Caenorhabditis elegans: one gene and its partners. The protein of the gene in region 3 interacts with the protein of the main gene of each other region in a pairwise test. Each region holds a gene or a part of one and is shown on either strand. Other genes may lie near its edges. The genes, in order: ubc-13, ufd-2, chn-1 and pdr-1.

Evidence for each region.
Region 1: the proteins of chn-1 (region 3) and ubc-13 interact in a two-hybrid assay, tested with the Caenorhabditis elegans proteins (one study listed by BioGRID).
Region 2: the proteins of chn-1 (region 3) and ufd-2 interact in a two-hybrid assay, tested with the Caenorhabditis elegans proteins (2 studies listed by BioGRID).
Region 4: the proteins of chn-1 (region 3) and pdr-1 interact in a two-hybrid assay, tested with the Caenorhabditis elegans proteins (one study listed by BioGRID).

What each region holds. Positions count from the first base shown.
Region 1 is NC_003282.8:2,921,907-2,927,329, reverse strand, and holds ubc-13 (Ubiquitin-conjugating enzyme E2 13), read left to right. Parts: upstream 1-1,638; 5' UTR 1,639-1,639; coding exon 1,640-1,919; intron 1,920-2,958; coding exon 2,959-3,126; intron 3,127-4,299; coding exon 4,300-4,307; 3' UTR 4,308-4,739; downstream 4,740-5,423. Other genes in the region: fbxc-45 (F-box C protein), read left to right, coding at 5,101-5,168, 5,214-5,349.
Region 2 is NC_003280.10:8,060,981-8,066,790, forward strand, and holds ufd-2 (Ubiquitin conjugation factor E4 ufd-2), read left to right. Parts: upstream 1-1,760; 5' UTR 1,761-1,771; coding exon 1,772-1,828; intron 1,829-1,870; coding exon 1,871-2,197; intron 2,198-2,242; coding exon 2,243-3,164; intron 3,165-3,214; coding exon 3,215-4,124; intron 4,125-4,172; coding exon 4,173-4,527; intron 4,528-4,579; coding exon 4,580-4,963; 3' UTR 4,964-5,213; downstream 5,214-5,810. Other genes in the region: T05H10.8 (peroxiredoxin-like family protein), read left to right, coding at 96-299, 344-484; pdha-1 (Pyruvate dehydrogenase E1 component subunit alpha), read left to right, coding at 5,320-5,333, 5,465-5,810. UniProt on the Caenorhabditis elegans protein: Acts as an E4 ubiquitin ligase mediating the assembly of polyubiquitin chains on substrates ubiquitinated by another E3 ubiquitin ligase. The elongation of preexisting ubiquitin chains preferentially targets ubiquitin 'Lys-29' and 'Lys-48' residues.
Region 3 is NC_003279.8:6,180,688-6,185,882, reverse strand, and holds chn-1 (E3 ubiquitin-protein ligase CHIP), read left to right. Parts: upstream 1-2,026; 5' UTR 2,027-2,036; coding exon 2,037-2,095; intron 2,096-2,141; coding exon 2,142-2,232; intron 2,233-2,285; coding exon 2,286-2,354; intron 2,355-2,402; coding exon 2,403-2,501; intron 2,502-2,548; coding exon 2,549-2,755; intron 2,756-2,976; coding exon 2,977-3,189; intron 3,190-4,184; coding exon 4,185-4,247; 3' UTR 4,248-4,569; downstream 4,570-5,195. Other genes in the region: GPI mannosyltransferase pigv-1, read right to left, coding at 1-150, 198-283, 333-420; T09B4.2 (Torsin-1B), read right to left, coding at 648-738, 804-1,017, 1,126-1,429, 1,476-1,796; putative mitochondrial import inner membrane translocase subunit tin-44, read left to right, coding at 5,043-5,124, 5,173-5,195.
Region 4 is NC_003281.10:13,769,880-13,774,033, forward strand, and holds pdr-1 (E3 ubiquitin-protein ligase parkin), read left to right. Parts: upstream 1-1,639; 5' UTR 1,640-1,651; coding exon 1,652-1,720; intron 1,721-1,765; coding exon 1,766-1,911; intron 1,912-2,001; coding exon 2,002-2,434; intron 2,435-2,480; coding exon 2,481-2,571; intron 2,572-2,850; coding exon 2,851-3,055; intron 3,056-3,108; coding exon 3,109-3,183; intron 3,184-3,229; coding exon 3,230-3,371; 3' UTR 3,372-3,465; downstream 3,466-4,154. Other genes in the region: cyk-4 (Rac GTPase-activating protein 1), read right to left, coding at 118-489, 540-1,032, 1,083-1,194, 1,239-1,344; mdt-29 (Mediator of RNA polymerase II transcription subunit 29), read left to right, coding at 3,591-3,638, 4,077-4,154.

The DNA of each region.
Region 1 (5,423 bases), on a different chromosome or scaffold from region 3:
ATCGATTTCGAAACGTTATTATTGATGGAAAATACGTAAAAATGGAAAATAATACCCATTTTCAGCTTTTTCAACGCCGAAAAATCAATTTTCGGCGATATTTTCTACTAAAATTACCGAAAAATGTGATTTTTCCGCAAAAATATGCGATTTCATAACAGTTTTCGTTGGGAAATGCACAGAAATCCAATTTTTCTAAAAATTTCGCAAAGGAATTGATTTTTTACTTAAATTACCGTTAAATTTATACATTTTTAGTATAAAAATTAAGATTTCGCGTGGATAACGAGAATTTACAGCGTTTTTTTGCTGAAAATATCGATTTTCTCGAATTTAGCGTTTTCAAAATGCTCAAAACGTCGAAAATTCAGTTTTTGGCATTATTTTTGATGGAAAATACGTCAAAAATGCCAATTTTCACTCTGAAATGCACATAAATCCTATTTTTTCGAAATTTCACTGTTGAATTGATTTTTTCACTCAAACTACCGGTGAATTTACATATTTTCAGATGAAAAACTGAAAGCTCCCGTAGAAAACGCGTCTTTTTCAACATTTTGGTGCTGAAAATATCGATTTTCCGCAAAAATAACGAATTCGTAATGCCAAAAACGTCAAAAATACACATTTTTGCGTTTATTTTTGATTAAAATTACTCCAAAATGTCAGTTTTCTGCAAAAATATGCGATTTCATCACTGTTTTCCATGGAAACTGCACAAAAATCCAATTTTGCCATTATTTTGCACCGAAATCGATTTTTTTCTCCAAAAAAATTATTCGAAATCGTGAAAAGCGAGCGTTTTTTAATGTTGGAAATCACAAAAAACCCAATTTTATCGATTTTTGGCCGACGTTTACGTTGAAAACTCGAGGAAAACAGTTTTTTAATTGAAAAATTCATAGTTTCCCGCAGAAAATTAGATATTTTAACTTTTTGTACTAAAAAAAATGGCATTTTTCCGATATTTCGAGAAAAACTTCGATTTTTAATTAAAAAACCTTGAATTATTAGTCTTTTTTCTTTTATTTCAGCCAAAATTTATACATTTATACATTTTTTTCTTCAGTTTTCACCATTTTGCACTCAAAAATCCGTCTAATTGTTGAATTTTTAACAGAAAAACAGTTTTTCGCTGGGAAAAGCTCTAAAATCACTCAAAAACCATCAAATTTATTCCACTTTTCCATGGAAACTGCACAAAAATCCAATTTTGCTATTATTTTGCACCAAAATCGATTTTTTTTTCCAAAAAAATTATTCCAAATCGCTAAAAACGAGCATTTTTTTGGTTGGAAATGCCAAAAACACAATTTTATCGATTTTTGGCCGATGTTTACGTTGAAAATTCGAGGAAAACAGTTTTTTAAAGTAAAAATTCATAGTTTCCCCTAGGAAATTAGATATTTTAACTTTTTTTTTGCGGAAAATGGCCCTTTTCCGATATTTCGAGAAAAAACTTTGATTTTTAATTAAAAAACCTTGAATTATTAGTCTTTTTTCTTTTATTTCAGCCAAAATTTATACATTTATATATATTTTTTTATTCAGTTTTCACCATTTTGCACTCAAAAATCCGTTTTTCTAATAGAAAAATCAGCTTAAAAGCCCCAAAACACACAATAAAATTTCTTGCAGAATGGCCGGGCAACTTCCGCGTCGAATCATCAAAGAGACACAACGACTTCTCGCGGATCCGGTTCCCGGAATATCGGCAAATCCAGACGAGAGCAACGCCAGATACTTCCATGTCATGATAGCCGGGCCAGACGATTCTCCATTTGCTGGTGGTGTCTTCAAGTTGGAGCTTTTCCTTCCGGAAGAGTATCCGATGGCTGCACCGAAAGTTCGATTCATGACAAAGATCTATCATCCGAATATTGATAAACTCGGCAGAATTTGTCTCGATATTCTCAAGGGTGAATAGATTTTCCCCTTTTTTTGAAAAATTAGTGAAAAAATTTTTTAAAAAACGGTTTTTAGCGTTTTAATCAATTATTTTTAGAGAATTTTCTGAATTTTCATCGAAATTTGCTATTTTTACACTGTTTTAACACAAATTTATTGATAAAATTCAGAAATCTAGCTTTTTTGGATATTTTTACTTGAAATTTTTCGAAAAACAGCCCATTTTCAACAATATTCACGAGTTTAGATGAATTTTTTGTATTTTTTAATATTTAAATCAAATTTAGCTCTTTTTGAGCGTATAAATCCGAATTTCATGCTCATTTTTCGCATAATGAGAAAATAATCCAAAAAATATGAATTTTTACGCATTTTAATGGGAAAAATGGATCAAAAACAGCTTATTTTGAGCGTTTTTTGACAAAATAGACGAAATTTCGAGAAAAATCGTGTTTTTTTTTGTTCTAATAAATATATTTAGGTGCATTCGAATGCGAATTTCTCGAAATTTAATTTTAAAAAACCCTCTTTTTGTGAAATTTTTTTCAAAGAAACTGCGAAAATGTATCATTTTTGCGCATTTTTAACCAAATTTCATCGAAAATCTCGGAAAACGGCGTTTTTTTGGCAATTTTTATTCAAAATTGCGAAAATTTCGGCGAACCCCCAGTTTTCGAGGGACATTTTCAATTTATGATCGAAATTAGCTATTTTTAATCATTCTAAAGCGAATTTCTTGTTAAAATTGCTGAAAAATCTGATTTTTTAGTAATTTCAATGGAGAGATAGTAAAATTCGATTTTTAATTACAAATTTCGTGTAATTTCTTCGAAAACTTCTTTATTTTTGCGCATTTTTTCCAATTTTTATCGAAAAATTACTCCAAAAGAAAGCATTTCGATAGATATATCTCATTTTTTGCGCATTTTAATCAAATTATCCATAGAAAAGTTCAATTTTTCGGCTATTTTAATGCGAATTATCTCGAAAAACTGCTCATTTTGAGCTTTTTCACATGAATTTCTCGAAAAAAAATGCCCAATTTTTCAGATAAATGGTCGCCGGCTCTTCAAATTCGCACGGTTCTTCTGTCGATTCAGGCTCTTCTTTCGGCTCCAAATCCGGAAGATCCACTGGCAACTGATGTCGCCGAGCAATGGAAAACGAATGAGGCCGAGGCGATTAAGACTGCAAAACAATGGACGATGAACTATGCTCGTCAGTAATATATCTAGGGTCTCGCCACGAAATCGATGAAAATTTGCAATTCTTTTGAAGCCAAAATCGAAAATTCGACCTCATGTCGATTTACGCCGATCGTGTACTCCCCGAGGAGAAGTTGGAATGATTTTTATACAGTTTTTGACCTTTTTAACATTAAAACTATCAAAAAATGGCTCGTAAATCCGATTTCCAGCCGAAAACTGCTTTTACGCCACTAAAAATATCGATTTTCACGGAAAACACTGTAATTTACGGCTAAATTTGCTATATTTAAGTAAAATTTCAGGAAAAGTCGACGAAAACGGCGAAAAACAATACTTTTAGCGCAATTATGGAGCCAAAATCGAAAAATCGAACTAAAAATCCCTGAAATTGGCGCATGTCGATTTACGTCAACTCGTGTACTCCCCGAGGAGAAGTGGGGGTGAAAAAAACGGGTTTTAAGGTGAAAATTATTGATTTTGGCCTATTTTTTCTAATTTGAACGTTTAAATCATCAATTTTTGCTCGGAATTATAGCTTTTTTGATAAATTTTTATTTTCGAATTTTTTTTAGTTTTTCAACCTTTAAAAAATCGAAAATAAAAATTTATCAGAAACACTATAATTTAGACCTAAATTGGTGATTTAAAGATTCAAATCAGGAAAAAATAGGCCAACATCAACAATTTTCGCCTCAAAATCCATGTGCTTCACCCCTCTTCTCCGCGGGGAGTACACGAGCTGCGTAAATCGACATGTGCCAATTTCGGAGGTTTCTAGTTCGATTTTTCGATTTTTGCTCCAAAATTGCGCTAAAATGATTGATTTTGGACCGTTTTCGCATCGACTTTTCCACAAATTTTACATAACTATAACAACTTTAGCGCTAAATTCCAGTTTTTCAGTGAAAATCGAAGTATTTAGTGTCTTAAAAGCAGTTTTCAGCTGGAAATTGAATTTATGAGCCATTTTTTTGGTAGTTTTAATGTTAAAAAACTGTATAAAAATCATTCCCACTTCTCCTCGAGGAGTACACGGGCTGCGTAAATCGACCCTTCGAATTTTCGATTTCGGCTCTGAAAACAGTAGATTTTCCTAGTTTTCGCTGTGGGACCCAACAATAAATATGCATTTTAATAAATTTTTTTTAACAATTTAAAAAATAAATTAATAATTTTTTTTCAGAAGCCTGATCGTCTCCGAAGCTCGCCTCTAGAACAACTACAAAAAATCACATCAAACAAAAAAAAATTCGAAATTCTCTCAGCCTGCTCTTTGTCCCGCCTTTTCCCGCCCCCTTACGAACTTCCAATAAATTGTATGAATTGCATAAAAATCTCGATTTTCCCCATCTTCTACTATATATCTAAATATTGATTTTTTTTGTCCCCGCCCGGTTTTTTGTCTCGAAATTCTACAATTTCCTCCCCATCCCATTGAATTTTTTAAAAAATTTTTTTGTCTCTGTTGTCTCACGATCCTCATCAAACCGTCGTCGTCCATTTAATTTAAATTCTTCTTTTTTTCTCCCAGTTTCCAGAAAATCTTCTTCCATCGAAATTGATTTTTTTTTCTCTTTTGGAAATTTTGATGATTTTTTGAATAAAGTCGTTATTTTTTTTGAGAATTTTTGAGAAATTTTTGAAGGCATTTCCAGCAGTAGCCTGATGGTTTTCAACCGGAAAAAATGCAAGAATAAATAGAAGAATAAATAGTAGATATTGTGATAGAAATTTTAAAAACTGGAAACTGCCTGAATCGCCGATTGCCGAAAGTGAGAAATGCCGAAAAAATGCACGCTGATATTACTGTAAATTTAAAGGGACACACAGTATCTTGTTGCATGGGTTTCATCGCGATGTGTTCAACTGTAGCTTTTTGATTTTTCTTTCGATTTTTCGAATTTTAACTGTGTTTTTTCATGTTTTTCTTGCGAAATTTGAAGCAATTACCGATAAAAAATTTTTAATTCAGATTTCTGCAAACATGGACTCGAAGCCACTCACCTATCTATCCATGCAGTGCATTATCAAACACTTGGAGGCGAATAAAAGGTGAGACAAACAGTTTCTGTAATTAACTAAATACATAATTCTCAGATTCCGACTGGCCGCACAATGCCCATCTCTTGTAAAGATCGAAAAATCGCAACCTCTGATTATCAAGAAGCTGGAATTCAATCGTAGTACAATCTCTGTCAATGGAGTGAAATACAAACTTGGTGCTAGGAACAATGTATGAATTTTTGCCATTCTAGACGAGGGTGTCGGTTTTAAGTATTTTACTAAATTCTTTTGAAAATAAAAACG
Region 2 (5,810 bases), on a different chromosome or scaffold from region 3:
TTTTATTCTTTGGCGAACGTTGAGCAAAAAAGTTGATATCAAATTGCAACGTGGGAAGGATAAGCAATCATTGTGTATAAATTGGAAATTTTCAGGTTGTGGAAGCCTCTCTCGTCGAAGGAGATTCAATTGTTGCGAAAGAAGCATCAAGCTCAGAAGACTCAGTTTCTTACATTTCTCAAAAAGGTGGTACTGTACTTGTGGATAAATCAGGAGAAATTCTTTACAAGCACATTGAAGACGATAAATCAGATTCATGGCCAGATATTGATGAAATAGTAAAACTGGTTGAAGCAAGGGTATGCTTTTTTATTTTTAAAACTCTCTTAACAAACTTCTCCAGAACGCCAAATACTTGGAGAGCACTAATAATTCTACAATATCAATTCCGAAAGGTGGAAATCTGGCAAAAGTGAATTCGGAAATTTCTGTAACAAAGGAACTGGCGACGGACAAAAAGAAACCGTGTTGCGTAATTAGTTAAATATCTAGACTACATTTACATTAAAACCATACATGTTATCTTGGCTGATCTCATTATTAATTCATTATTTTAATATTAGATTATTTAACTATGAAATAACATAAACATTAATTTATTTTCAATTTGTTCCAATGTGGAACTTCCAAAAAAAAAACACTCGAATTTAATGTGGTTGTTATTTTACAGTGAAAAAAGATGTTCGGATGCTTTGATTTCTTTTGGTTGAAGATTTTCAGACTCGTTTATTAAACTTTTACTGTATTCTTGGAATAAAAAAGTTCAATTTATTTTCAATTTTCAATCAATTTAAAAATCTATCATCTGAAGAATAAAACACAACACTATTACATAGAAGTTTCAAGGCAAACCATATATGGCCATATGAATTTTTTTGATCGTTTCAATAGTTTTCTAAAAGTACAATAATCCACGGTAATCCTACAGTACCCTGGCCATATCCCGGAATATTTACGATTGCATCAGAGTAGCAACAAACGTGTGTATTGATTGATTTTTTATCGTATTGAAGGACATCTGCTGGTGGACCAGGTACCCGCCTATAAATGTCTAGAATTGGGTGAGTCTCACAATGACGTCCCTCGGGTCTCAATTGTACACAATCGATTGTTGAGTTGCGCTACTGTTTTCCTCTTGAAACTATAGTTAACTAAACGATTTTTATTGAAAGTGAGGTTTATTCTCGTTTAAAAAAAACAATATTTATTAAAGAATAAAATTTTGTAAAATCAAAAATGTGCGTTCCATCCACAGTCTCGTTCATTTATATACTTTTTTGTTGCTTAATTTATCTGCCCCTTCAAATTCTTATTGCTCTAAAAATATTCAAATTAAGTGGTGTCTGAAAATAGAATCATAAAGATACAATATTTAACACTCGTTCTTCCGAATTCAGTTTTCTACCGATGTTTCTCTCCTGCAAAAATGTGGTGTCTCGGTAGTGCAGCAAACGCGCTCCACTGCATGTTCATTGAGAGGCCGAAATGTCAGCGTCTTTGCAGCTGCATTGCTCCTTCGATTTTTCTATCTCTTGCGCGCGCGGTGCAAATGTCTTCCTACAGTTTTTGCTCTCGAAAATAATTTTATGTTTTCCTCTATACACAATTCTAGTCCAATATTGTTTTCATACAATCCTCTGCGTTTAATTTTTCCGTCTCATAAATGTTCCCATTACCGTAAAATATTTGTTATCAGACCTCTCACCATTCTCTTTATCGTTACTCTACTTATCAAAATCACGTGATCATCACGAATTTCCAGAAATCGTAGATGATTGAAGACGAGAAAGCAGGCTTGCAGCCGATGGACATAAGTGATGCTTCTGTGGTGCGTTTTTGCCTGACATTTTATATACTCATAGGCGATTAGTTCTTTTTTCAGGCAGATGTTGAAAGCAAAGACTTCCTCACAAGTCTCTTTGACTGTGAAGGTAAATCAGATGACAGAATGCTTCGTTACGCCGATGCGATAATCGATGTTCAAAATCTGAATTTTGATGTTTCTCCTCAGTGTCTGCAATCGAACATTGCCGAAATAATCACAAAGTTTGTACTTTTATCTCAAGATGGATCAAGAAGGGGGCTGTCAAGATCGTTCAATTTCATCGACCCTGATATCATTGCTGGATGTCGTGAAGAAGACGCCATCGAGTTTCTCTTAATCAATTTTGTTCGTTGCCATCATGAGCTTGGAAAGGTACTCTATCTAATATAGTTCTATTTTTAATTTAACAATTTTCAGAGCGGTACTTCAAATTGCTACAAGAAAACTCTCGAATCTACCAGGAAAGCAGTTTTCTCAGTTTTTGTGATGATACAGAGAGGCTACTTGGAGAGCCAACTTCGCAGCCAACATGCTAGTTTGGTGTTCACAAAAAGACTTCTGGAGGATACGGTGTCAAATGTTTTTCTAAGAACATTGGTTGAATACCTTGCAAGTACAGATGAATGCGATGAAGACGCTATTACAGAAACATTTAATCCAATTTTCGGGATTTTGCGGAGCGGAATTATTTGTCAACGCTTTGAAGACAATAAGGACGAAATTGTTCGTCAGATCCTTCGTGTGATGAACTTGCTTCTCAGTATCAGACTCCCTTCAAACGGACCTCGCCCACTGAGTAACCTACTTGTTAATCGAGAAGATTTTCTCCCAACGCCGTCCGAAAAAATACAAGGACGCGAGTTTGGTTTAATGTCCTTCCTAGGACCGTTCTTTTCGTACGGCCTCGAATCATCAGCAAGGCGTCCAAATCATCGAGTTTTTGTGGATTGTGAAGAAGATGCAAGAAAATATGATGGATCAGTCAACACTGAGCAGAAACTGTATTTCCAAAGAATGGATCCAATTCGAACTATGCTTCATCAATTGATGCTTCCGCTTGCTTCGGATCAAGGAAGTCGCAACAAAACTCTAAGATGGATTGCCACCATCATAAGCACCAATGACATTCGCACTCGTTCACATTATGATCCTTCAGATGTCTTGTGTGATCATTATATGACAAATTTTTTGTCCGTGATGTACATGTTTTCCGAGAAAATCGACTTGTCCAAAATTATCGTAGATTATCCGTTTTTACCGAGTTCGCTTATAAATATTTCCAAGGAGACTCGTCTCAAAATGGACGAATCAGGAGCAGTCGCTTTTGCTAGCCAATTCGGTAAGTTTCATTTTTCTTTCTCAAAAAATTAACTTGTTTTCTTTTTCCAGCAGATCGTCCAGATGAATATCATTTCTCTACAGTCTGCTTCTTCCTGACAATTGCAGCACAGAGGCTCGTTATTCCTCCATTGATGAATCAAATAAGTGAATACTCTCGACACCTTAAGGAGCTCAAGCATAAGATCAATGCGCTCAAAGAAAAACTAAATACTGTGTCAGGATTCGAGAGAGCTGAGGTGGAAAAGAAGTTGAACTATGAGACTGAACACTGGAAGCTCATGTCTCGTCATCTTTTATGTGTTAAGACACAAGCTCAAGATCCTGCATTAATGGCATCTTCTATGGATTTTGTCGATAAGCAGATGAAATTCATTTTGAATTTGCTTTGTGATAACTTGGATTTGCTCGGAGACGACAGTCAACTTCCAACTGAAGTATCACAAATGTTTTGTGCGCTCCCAGAATATTTTCTAGAGGATGCTCTCGATTTTTACATATTCGCTATTTCCAATGGAATGAAACTGCTCATGGAGAGAAATGCGGATTGGATTTCCCGTCTGACGGTCCTTTTCACACAATATCACTACATCAAAAGCCCATTTCTCGTTTCCAAACTGGTGAGAGTGCTGTCTTCTATTCAACCTCCATTATGGTTCAACGTGGTCAGACTTCGAATGGCACAAGAAAATTTATTGATGTGCATGATAAAGTTCTACTCGGATTTCGAAGACAATGGTGACTTTTATGAAAAGTTTAACGTTCGTGGAAATATCCAGTACATGTTGGAAAAAATGGAGGAAGATATGTTCTACAAAGGAAAGTTTATGGACATGGCAAGAGAATGCGGAGCAGAGTTCATTCGGTTTGTCAATATGGTGATTAACGATGCAACATGGTGTATAGATGAGAGCTTGTCTGGTTTGAAGAGTATCCATGATGTTGAGAAAAAGATGGCGAAGTAAGACTATTTCGAATGATAACTTAAAAATATAAATTTTATTTTCAGCAAAGTCGAATGGGACAACACAGATCAAGAAATCCGTAATCAGGATCTCGGCGTGTACGAGGAGGCAAAACGTAAAGTGAAGGGATGGCTTGGAACAGCCAAAAGTAATCTTAAATTGCTACTATCGATTACCGTAAACTCACCCGAACCTTTCCGTACTCCGGTTCTCGGCGAAAGACTTGCTGCAATGTTGAATCACAATTTATCGCAACTCATTGGTAGCAAGGCCTCCGAGTTGAAAGTCAAGGATCCAAGAAGTTATGGATGGGAACCACGGGAGTTTGTATCGTTGCTGATCTCAATCTATTTAAAGCTGAATATGCCTGCATTTGTTAAATACATAGCATACGACGAGGTTGGTTAACACATTTGTTTATTCAAAGAGATTTATTTTAATTATTTTTCAGCGTACCTACAGTCCTGAATTCTTCCATAATGCGATTGAATGCATGAGAAAGAATAGTATTGTTGGATTCAGTCAACTCGAAAGTTTCGAACATTTGGCCGAAGATGTTAAAAAAGAGTATGAGGCAAAAGCTGAGCTTGAAGAAGAGTATGATGATGTACCAGAAGAGTTCAAGGATCCTATTATGGATGCAATTATGGTTGATCCTGTCAAATTGCCATCAGGACACGTGATGGATCGTGCAGTCATCGAGAGGCATCTTCTCAGTACACCCAATAATCCGTTTAATCGTGCTCCCTTGTCGCACAATGAGCTTTCTCCCGATTCTGAGTTGAAGGCAAAGATTCAGGAATGGATTTGCCAGAAAAGAAATTCAAAGAAATAATTTTCTATCATATTCTATTGTTACCCAATTTTGTATTTATTGTACTTGACCATTGCACATGTGCAAAATGTCTGTAAATTTCACGCGTTCCTTTCATTTTATAAGTTTTTCTGGTCTCTCAATGGTCTAATCTTTCGGTTTCGGTTTCATTTTCTGCATGGATTCCTTAAAGTTGGTATTCTTGCCCTCTTTCATCAAACCTAAAAAACACGAGTAGTGCCTTGAATGTGAATAAATTTATACTAATTTACTTATTTTCTAAATTTTGGCTTCTATTGCGGTCTCCGATCCGCATACTTATATTTTTATTCTTTGTGAATTTCTTCACATATTCTGATTTTAGCCTTGAACCTGGAATGACTAAATTTCTGTAGGTTTATAACGAACGGTGTCGTATTGTTTTGTGATTTGTTACATGTCAATAACTTATAATATTTATACGTTCCCAGTCATCCCAAATCCGATTAATTTTTATTTTTGAAATATATTTACTGCTTTCAGTAGCTTGGTACATCTGGAACGTATTTGGTCGACGGCAATGTCTTTATTCGCGAGACAACTTCAATCCTTGACTGCCAGTGGAATCCGCACACAGCAAGTTCGTCTTGCGAGCACGGAAGTATCATTCCACACAAAGCCATGCAAACTTCATAAACTTGACAATGGACCAAACACCTCTGTCACCTTGAACAGAGAAGATGCTCTCAAGTACTACCGTGACATGCAGGTCATTCGTCGCATGGAGTCTGCTGCTGGAAACTTGTACAAGGAGAAGAAAATCCGCGGTTTCTGTCATCTCTACTCTGGTCAAGAAGCTTGTGCCGTCGGAATGAAGGCTGCAATGACA
Region 3 (5,195 bases):
AGTAGTGGAACAAGATTCTCCAGTTTCCGTGGAACCAAGAGGAGAGTCTTCTCTGGAAGATGATGAATCGCTCTCCTCTCTTCCAATCAGTCGATTTGTGAAAAACGCGGATTTCCTCGCAGAGAATGGATTCTCGTCTGTAACACCAGTCTGAAAAATAACATTTTTAAATATTAGATGATAATTGATAACAAAACCTCAATAGTCTTGTTTGGTACCGGGAACGACAAGATGCTTGGAAACCTGAATCCCTTCATCTGTGGATCTTCGTTGAGAACGGCATCTAAAAATTAGGAAGTTATAATTTGCTAAAAAAACCTGCGTTTTCTCACCTTCGTACGTATCCGTACGTCTCTCTAACTCGATAAATTCTTCCTCAGCTGCACGTTTAACATCTCTCCCAGGCTCACGTCTACGCATCCTGTATTAATCATTTTAGAAAACAGATCAATAAAAAAATAAAATAGTGACAGCATTTTTAAAGCGAATATACGAGATTTATACGAACATGTAAAACTTTTACTATTTTTATTCAATGAACACAGAATTCCTTGAACTATTTAGCTGATCTTGTAAAACCTTGGATTAAATTACAGAATTAAAAAATAAAAACCCGTGAAAAATGAAGGTAATGTACCGGCAAAATTTTAAACACATAAAAAATAAGAAATTCGTGCAATAATCGGTGGAATGTTGTCTGAAGAGCCGCCGTTCTCAATCCAGCGTTTCGTTAGAAATCTGTAAGTGCGAAAATTGTAGATCAAAAAATTTCTTAACTATTTTGATCTACAAAAACCACTTACTGGACCATTTTCTCATCACAACTTGTGTTGGCAATGTCCATCGTTGAATCTTGTTGTGAAGAAACAGTCAGAAAAAGTATTGTTTTGGGAACTGGATATTTTCCGTGATCTGAGAACGCATGAAGAACAAGAACTGCATCCCATTTTAGCAGGTCTACATCCAAAATCACAGCTGTTCGAGGTGATGATTGTGAAATAAGAGCGGGTCCGAGGACTGAAATAATGCATTATATTTTCAAAATTCAGCGAATTTTCACATTACTTTGGAGATGTTAAAAAGTTATTTAAACATAAAATATTATGAGGTTCTGAAATCACTCACTTTCCTGCAAATTCGCATGCAACTCGGCTCTATCAGTGTCACTTTCCACTCTAATTGATGATTTTCCTGCCGTAGTATGCTCATCACTTTTAGCATCTTGAACAGCTCGATTCACAGCTTCGGCAATTTGTTTGGCCGGTGTTCCCCCAACAAGAACAACCAACGGAGCATGATTTTCTGGTTCCAAATAGATTTTCTGCCCGATTAGTCTTAAGAGATCCCGATTTTCTTTCGAAATTGTAGGAAACTCGTTCTTGATGACAGATCGGACTGATTTGATGTAACTTTCATACGATTCGTTAGTCTAGAAAATTGTTAATTATTCCGATACCGCGTGTAGTTTTACCAACCGTAACTTTGCTTCCTTTAATCAATGCTCCCACAACAATCGCAATGAAAACTATTCCAATAACAGTCCAGTATTTCCATTTTTCATTCACTTCGTTACATGACACATCGGATTCTTCTGATCCATGTGAGCTACTGAAACTCAAATCCGCATCTGTGAAATCATTTTCATCTTGTTGCTCGCTAGTCTTTTCGGTTCTTGCATTACTTATTTGTTCAGTTAGATCAGGATAAAGCCTTGATGAACTATCGAGACTCCTACGTTTATTCGATGTTGGTATGTAATTGGATGGAGTTCCATATGATTTTCTGGTTTGCACCATACCCTGAACTAAAACGAAAATTGGAGCAGAATTTGAAAAAAAAAAATTAAACTGTTAAAAAAAAACATAAATATAAAAAATTGCGGCAAAAAACAAATTTTGGCTTGGAGCGAGTACACCGCAAACACCGCAAGCTTAATTTGCACACAATGCGTCAGAGCTTACGCGCAACTCTATCCGCATCATGCTTTTCAAAATCGATTTTTAGAACAATTTCCGCTTATTTTCAGCGTTTGCAGCATGTCAAGCGGCGCCGAACAACATAATACTAATGGCAAAAAGTGTTATATGAATAAAAGGTATTTTCATTTATGTGTAATAAATCCCATGTCTTTGAACTTTCAGATATGACGATGCCGTTGATCACTATTCGAAAGCCATCAAAGTAAATCCTCTGCCGAAATACTATCAGAACAGAGCAATGTGTTACTTTCAGGTATTTATACTTCGATTAAAACTTTTCTTTAACTTTTGTAATATATATTCTAGCTTAACAACCTCAAGATGACTGAAGAAGACTGCAAACGGGCACTGGAACTGAGCCCAAACGAAGTGAAAGTAAGCTTTCAACTCTTGAAGTTAATTAGTTATTCAATTCATTTTCAGCCTTTATACTTCTTGGGAAATGTATTTCTACAGAGCAAAAAGTACAGTGAAGCAATAAGCTGTCTCTCCAAAGCGCTCTACCATAATGCTGTTATCACGGTAGAAATTTTTGAACGGCGTTTATTAAAACGGAATTGTGGTTTCAGAACGCTCCAGATATTGAGAACGCCCTCAAACGGGCACGCCATCAAAAGTACGAGGAGGAGGAGTCAAAGCGAATTGTACAAGACGTTGAATTTCACACGTATTTGGAGAGCTTGATCGAAAAGGATCGTCAAGAAAATTCTGAAAACCCAGAGGAGTTGCAAAGAGCAGATATGGCTAAAAAACGTCTAACCGAACTCACTTTAGCGGTAAATACTTTTTCTTGAAAGTTTTTTGAAACTTTAGTAATACTATTCCCAAATTCTTATATCTAAGCGTTTCTAATTCGAACCAAACGAGTTTCCGAATCCTGCCAACTTTTTTCAACCGGTTCAAAATATACTTTCAGAATTAAGCATACTAAACTATCGTGAGTGTAATATTTCCTAAATCACGAGAGATCAAAGAGAATCAAAATATCATTTTTTAGACACAAGAAAAACGGCAAAACAGGGAGGTTCCTGAGATGCTCTGCGGCAAAATTACACTGGAACTGATGAAAGAGCCGGTGATAGTTCCATCTGGAATCACGTATGACCGAGAAGAAATTGTGCAGCATTTGAGAAGAATTGGCCATTTCGATCCAGTCACAAGAAAACCACTTACCGAAAATGAAATTATTCCGAATTATGCACTGAAAGAGGTTGGAAATTTATACAGGGTGGGCCAAAAGTATGGTAACACGTTTGCAGCTCTATAACTTTACTAGTGGAAAGAGTTACTACATCAATTGTTACAAGTTTTGTTCTCCATAAAATACTGACCAGATGAACGTTTTGAATTTTCAAAATATTCCCATCCGCATCGCTGCAGGCCTTCAGAACTTTTGAGATCACGACCTTTATGGCACGCAAGTCGGCATTCTGCGGGATTTCTACATTTTTCTCGAGGAATCCATCAAGTGCCTTACAAGTTTTTATAGTTCAAAGAATGCTCTTGGTCTAGAGATTCTATAAAAACAAAAATCCAAATAATTTCTATCACGGTATTTCTGTCATGGACTGCGGCAGTAGGTTAAGTCTTGAATGGCATAGTCGCCAGAAAGATGGATGTGAGCGGCGAGTAGCAGTATGCAGAAAAATTCATTTTAGTATTTTTCGAGACGTTTTGACCTGACTTTCCAGAATTTTTTTAGAAAATTGAGCTCGGATGATTTTGTGGGACGTTACGCCTTGCGAAACCAAAAAAACTGAGTAAATTTCGCAAAGTTGAATTCATGAAATATTCAAAGGTTCTTGCTAGGCGCCAGTGTCGACACAGAAAATTTTTATATGCCACAAAAACAATTAAAAACGCTTCTTCACTTCTTTAACTTTAAATTTAACATAAAAATCATACATCTGAAAATTATTGGCGTGCATGGGAGGTGTGTTTGTGTGGGAAGTGCCGCGTGCCAAATTACCGTTTTTTCGAAAGGGTTCGCCAAATTGTCGAGGTGATAAAGATCGCACCTTATTGGGAAACATTACAAATTTTGAGTCAAATTGAAGGAAATTTATTCAGCTATCAGTATTCGATAGAAGAATGTACGTATGACGTGGCAGTCACGCGAAAAGCTCATGTAAAAGAGCGCTTCATGTGTTACCATACTTTTGGCCCACCCTGTAATAAATTCAGTTAATTTCTAATGATTTTCAGGTTATTGAAAAGTTTCTTGACGACAACCCATGGGCTAAATATGAACCCGGAGGCATGGTTTAAATACTATTCAGAATATTGAAAAATTCAACATTAAACATTCCTGGCTGCTTCTCAATGCAACTTCTTCACTTTTCTACATGTTTCAGTTCTTTGCATTTTTTTTTCGGATTTTTAAACTTTTATTGTTTGAACGCTGTACCCTCCTTTTCTGTTCTACCGGTATTTGTATCTTGGTGTATTTTTTAGCTTTAGTTTTCTTTCAAAATTCCATTGAATTTCTGGTAGAAAGTGCACTTCAACTTGTCGCTTAGTTCTCAATTTTACTGCTAAAAGTGAGATTCTGTAAATATTGTATGAAATAAAGAGGTGTGATGCTTTTCTTTTCATTTTACAATTTTTTTTATACCAATAGGAAGGTCTATAACCTACTATCTACGTGACTTTGTAAATAAAATAAATAAAATCGGGAAGTTTTCAAAATTGCATCACTGGGAGTGCGGGATTGCGGAGTGTCGTTGTGAAATTTAGACGGCATTTTTTTCCGTTTTTTCAATTTCGAAGCTGTTTAAGCTGAATTCTGTTCGAAAATTTGTTGAAATAAAATGCAAAAAAGAATTTTTGTTCACAAAAAATGGTTATTTTCATTCTCCGGGCATTATTATTTTTGTTTGCAGAGTTTTAGAATAACTGTTTAAAAATCCTTGATGTTTAGATCTGAAAAGCTTTCAATGGTTCAGAAGAAATTATAATTAAACCGAAATTAATTAATTAAATTTATTATTTGAATATTTCCCGCACAAGTTCCATTCTTGCCTCTTCTTTATTGAACTTATAATGTGAAAAATTATTCTTCAGATGTTGTCACGAATTTGTGGAAACGGGATACGATTAACTCGGACAAGACTTCAATTTCAGCCATCTATTGTTACTTTCAGAGGTAGGCAATGTCTATAGGTTTTCATTTCTAACTATTTCCAACTTTCAGACTACAGTAATCCAGCGCCAAAA
Region 4 (4,154 bases), on a different chromosome or scaffold from region 3:
CAGAAATAGATGTTTGCAACATGGGGTCCGAGACGGACGCGCCTCTTCATGATTAGCATGATTTTCATCACTACAGAGCTCACTTTAAAGAAATTTGTTAGCATTTTTTACACGTACCGCTTTGATTCCTGCCTCTATAAACGTGTGTGGTCTCATTGCGATGTCACGAGTTGTTCCATTAGTCCACGCCGGCGTGCCACGTTTCAGGGTTCGGATATCAAGTGTGCTTTTGGTGAGAATGGCGGACGACATGCCGAGGCCGATGTTATTTGTGGTTTGTCCTGGTGTTTGATCGCATGATGGAATACTTCCACAGCTCAAGCTCCTGCGGGTGAGCTGGCGGTGAAGTGAGACACGTGGCGGGTCCTGGTTCTGAGCTCGAGAGTTATGAATAGTAGTGGTGGTGGTGGTAGTGGTGGTAGTTGTCATTTCTTGATGAGGTGTAGAACCATCATCACGGCATCTTTTTGGAGGTGTACCACCCTCATTCTGAAAGAACAAACGCAATTCAACAAAAACTGTCATGTCATAATTTTTACCGGCTCTTCATCTATAGTAGCTGTCATAACACGGCTTCTGCTCCTCTTCGAATTGGCAGCAGCAGTAATCGCATGTGCTGACGCGCTTCTCCGCTTGCCACCAACTGCGTTTCCAGCAGCTGAGCTTCTTCTGACCTCTCTTCCATTGCGCAAATGAATAACTTCCTCGAAACTGTCTCCAGTTTCATCGTAATCCACCTCACTATCGTCCTCATCGTCCTGTGTGTCCTCCATCAAATGTGGATGCCTCTGCTGCACCCGTTTCGAGTATGTCCGGACCAGTGGCTCGTGAAGAAACTTGAACTGATCGCGGTCTTCCTTGGTGAGACTATTGAATATACCGTTCTTCATCGCATCTTTCAGCTGCTTTTCACGAGTCTCGTAGACGTTTAGATCGAGCTTCAACGCCTTATTTTCTTCCATCAACGCGCGTAAATGTTTCTGAGTGTCTTTGACATCGATATCGAACATTGCCAGCTTCTTGCGAGCTTTTCTGAAATAATAGTGTTTTCTAAACACGTAAACATGAAATATTTCACTTACGCAAGTGCTTCTTCGGCCTCTCTCATATCTGCATTCAGCCGCTTTTTGGATTCCTCGGAATCTTTCCACAGCTTGCGGAGACGCTCAATCTCATCAATCAAATGAAACATTCCTGAAACACGTCATTAAAATTTGAAAATGATAATTGAAACTAACCTATATCCTTAATATCGAATTGCGGTCGCTGTGAGTTTAGAATCATGTTGAAAATGTGACGCGAGTTTTCGCCGCACACCTTCTCTTTTGATGTACTGGACTTCATTCTAAAATGTGGAAATGATTAGAAAACGAGAAACTCGCCCGAAAATAAGAGAAAAATGCGTGAAAACCGTTTCAAATTTCGTGGAAAACAGTTCGAATTTGAAGCTCGCTGCGTTTGTCTCACACGCGACGCGACCCGCTACGCTTGCCATAGGGCGCACATGACTGCGAGGACTAGTGTGCACAAAAACATGGGGCTTCAAGGCCTCGACTAGTTTTTTGAATTTAATGTTTAAAACTGCAAGCAGGCCCGCTAGCAGGAAATTTTTTTGTTAATTTCTAAGTCAAATTTTCAGCTCTCATGAAGCATGTCTGATGAAATCTCTATATTAATACAAGATAGAAAAACAGGTCAACGTAGGAATCTAACACTTAATGTAGTGGACATTTCAAACTTTGAATATATACATTATTTTTTTCAGATAAATATAACTGGAAATATCGAAGATCTCACAAAAGATGTGGAAAAGCTCACCGAAATTCCCAGCGATGAGCTGGAAGTGGTTTTCTGTGGGAAAAAGTTATCAAAATCAACGATTATGAGGGATTTGTCACTGACACCTGCAACGTAGGTCAAGTAAATATTTACTTATATAAATAACTGGAATTGTTATTTATATAAATAACTGGAATTGTTATTCAAATAATATTATTTCAGACAAATCATGCTTCTCCGTCCAAAGTTCAATAGTCACAACGAAAACGGTGCTACTACTGCAAAAATAACAACAGATTCTTCAATTCTCGGAAGCTTCTACGTGTGGTGCAAAAATTGTGACGACGTCAAGCGCGGCAAACTGCGGGTTTATTGCCAAAAATGCTCGTCAACCTCTGTTCTAGTCAAATCTGAACCCCAGAACTGGTCCGACGTTCTCAAAAGCAAGAGAATACCGGCGGTCTGCGAAGAATGCTGTACTCCAGGTCTTTTCGCTGAATTCAAGTTCAAATGTCTAGCCTGCAACGATCCGGCCGCAGCTCTAACTCACGTACGCGGAAATTGGCAAATGACCGAGTGCTGTGTTTGTGATGGGAAGGAGAAAGTGATCTTCGACCTCGGATGCAATCATATTACATGCCAATTCTGTTTCAGAGTGAGTAAGAATCTAAATTTTTTGTTGAAATTGTTTAATTTTAAAGGATTATTTGCTAAGTCAACTGGAACGATTCGGTTTTGTCAATCAGCCGCCGCATGGCTTCACCATTTTCTGCCCCTATCCAGGGTGCAATAGTTCGTTCGATTTTATCAAAACCATTCAATTTTCTGCAGTAGTGATCCTGAAAACTAATTGATAGAAACAAAAAATCTTCCAAAAAATACAAATATGTTATGTTTCCATTTTGCAAGTCTGGCATGGTTTTTTTTTTGCAAAAAAAACCCCCACCCGTTCTATTTAAATTTATTTTGAAAATTTTCTCACATGTTTCAATAGTTTTTCAATGCCGAGAAAATTGAAAAAAAAAGTTTTAAAGAAATTAAACAGAACATTTAATTGAAAAATAACTTCAGGAGTGGTACAAGATGTGCACCATTTCCACATTATGGGTCAGACGTCGTACAGCGAATACCAACGGAAAGCCACCGAGCGATTGATTGCCGTGGACGACAAGGGTGTGACTTGCCCGAATGTCTCGTGTGGGCAGAGCTTCTTCTGGGAGCCCTATGATGACGATGGAAGATCCCAGTGTCCAGATTGTTTTTTTTCGTTTTGCAGGTATTTTGAGCTTCTAAATCGGAAATTTTATCGCAATAAATATCATCGTTCAGAAAGTGCTTCGAAAGAAATTGTGTGTGCCAGAGCGAAGACGATCTCACCCGAACTACAATTGACGCGACTACAAGGTGATCTCAGCGATTATCCACTACAAAAAACTGTAAATTCTTCCAGAAGATGCCCAAAATGCCACGTGGCAACCGAACGGAACGGCGGATGTGCTCACATTCACTGTACCTCGTGTGGAATGGATTGGTGTTTCAAGTGCAAGACAGAATGGAAGGAAGAGTGTCAATGGGACCATTGGTTTAATTAATAACTCTCTAAAATTCATCTTTTCTAGAGATTGTACGTGTTATTCTGTAGATTTTTACAACAATTACGGTGTGTCTGAAGTTACATTGACATTTTTTCTCTTCAAATTTTAGATCTTTTTCTCAATTTTTGTTGCTGAGTATTTCGCTCATTTCATACCTTTTTTTAAATGTTTTGCCAAATTTCAAAGAACACATTTCTCGCAGGGATCTCCATAGACATGTCAGGACAAGGACCTCCACCAAGTATGACGCCGCAGCAACAACATGTAAGATTTTTTGTGCTTTTGAACTTGAGAGTAAATTTTAGTGAATTTGAGCACATTTTACAACCTTTTTCGGAAAAATTTCACACTTTTCTACGGCTTCATCCTTAAAACAATTGAAGTCAAAAAATGTCTTTTTTTTAATTTTGGGAACAAAAAAAATTAATGAAAATGTACAATCACACCAACATGGAAACATTTCTTGAGCTTCGGGATATATCTCAGTTTTGGAGTGGGCTGAAAATTATTTTTTTCATGAAAATTAAAAAAACAACTTTTTCATGAAAACAAAACTCACCGCATTTTTTAACTGAAATTTGAAAATTTCTCACTCAAATATCCTTTAAAGTTTCATTTTAAGACGTTTTCAGAGCTTTTTTAAAACCATATAACCAAATTTTAAACTAGGAATAAAAAGATTATAAAATAAAAACATTTCAGATGTTAATGCAGCAGCAACAGCAGCAACAAATGATGCGGCAGCAACAAATGCAGCAACAACAAATGCAGCAGCAACGT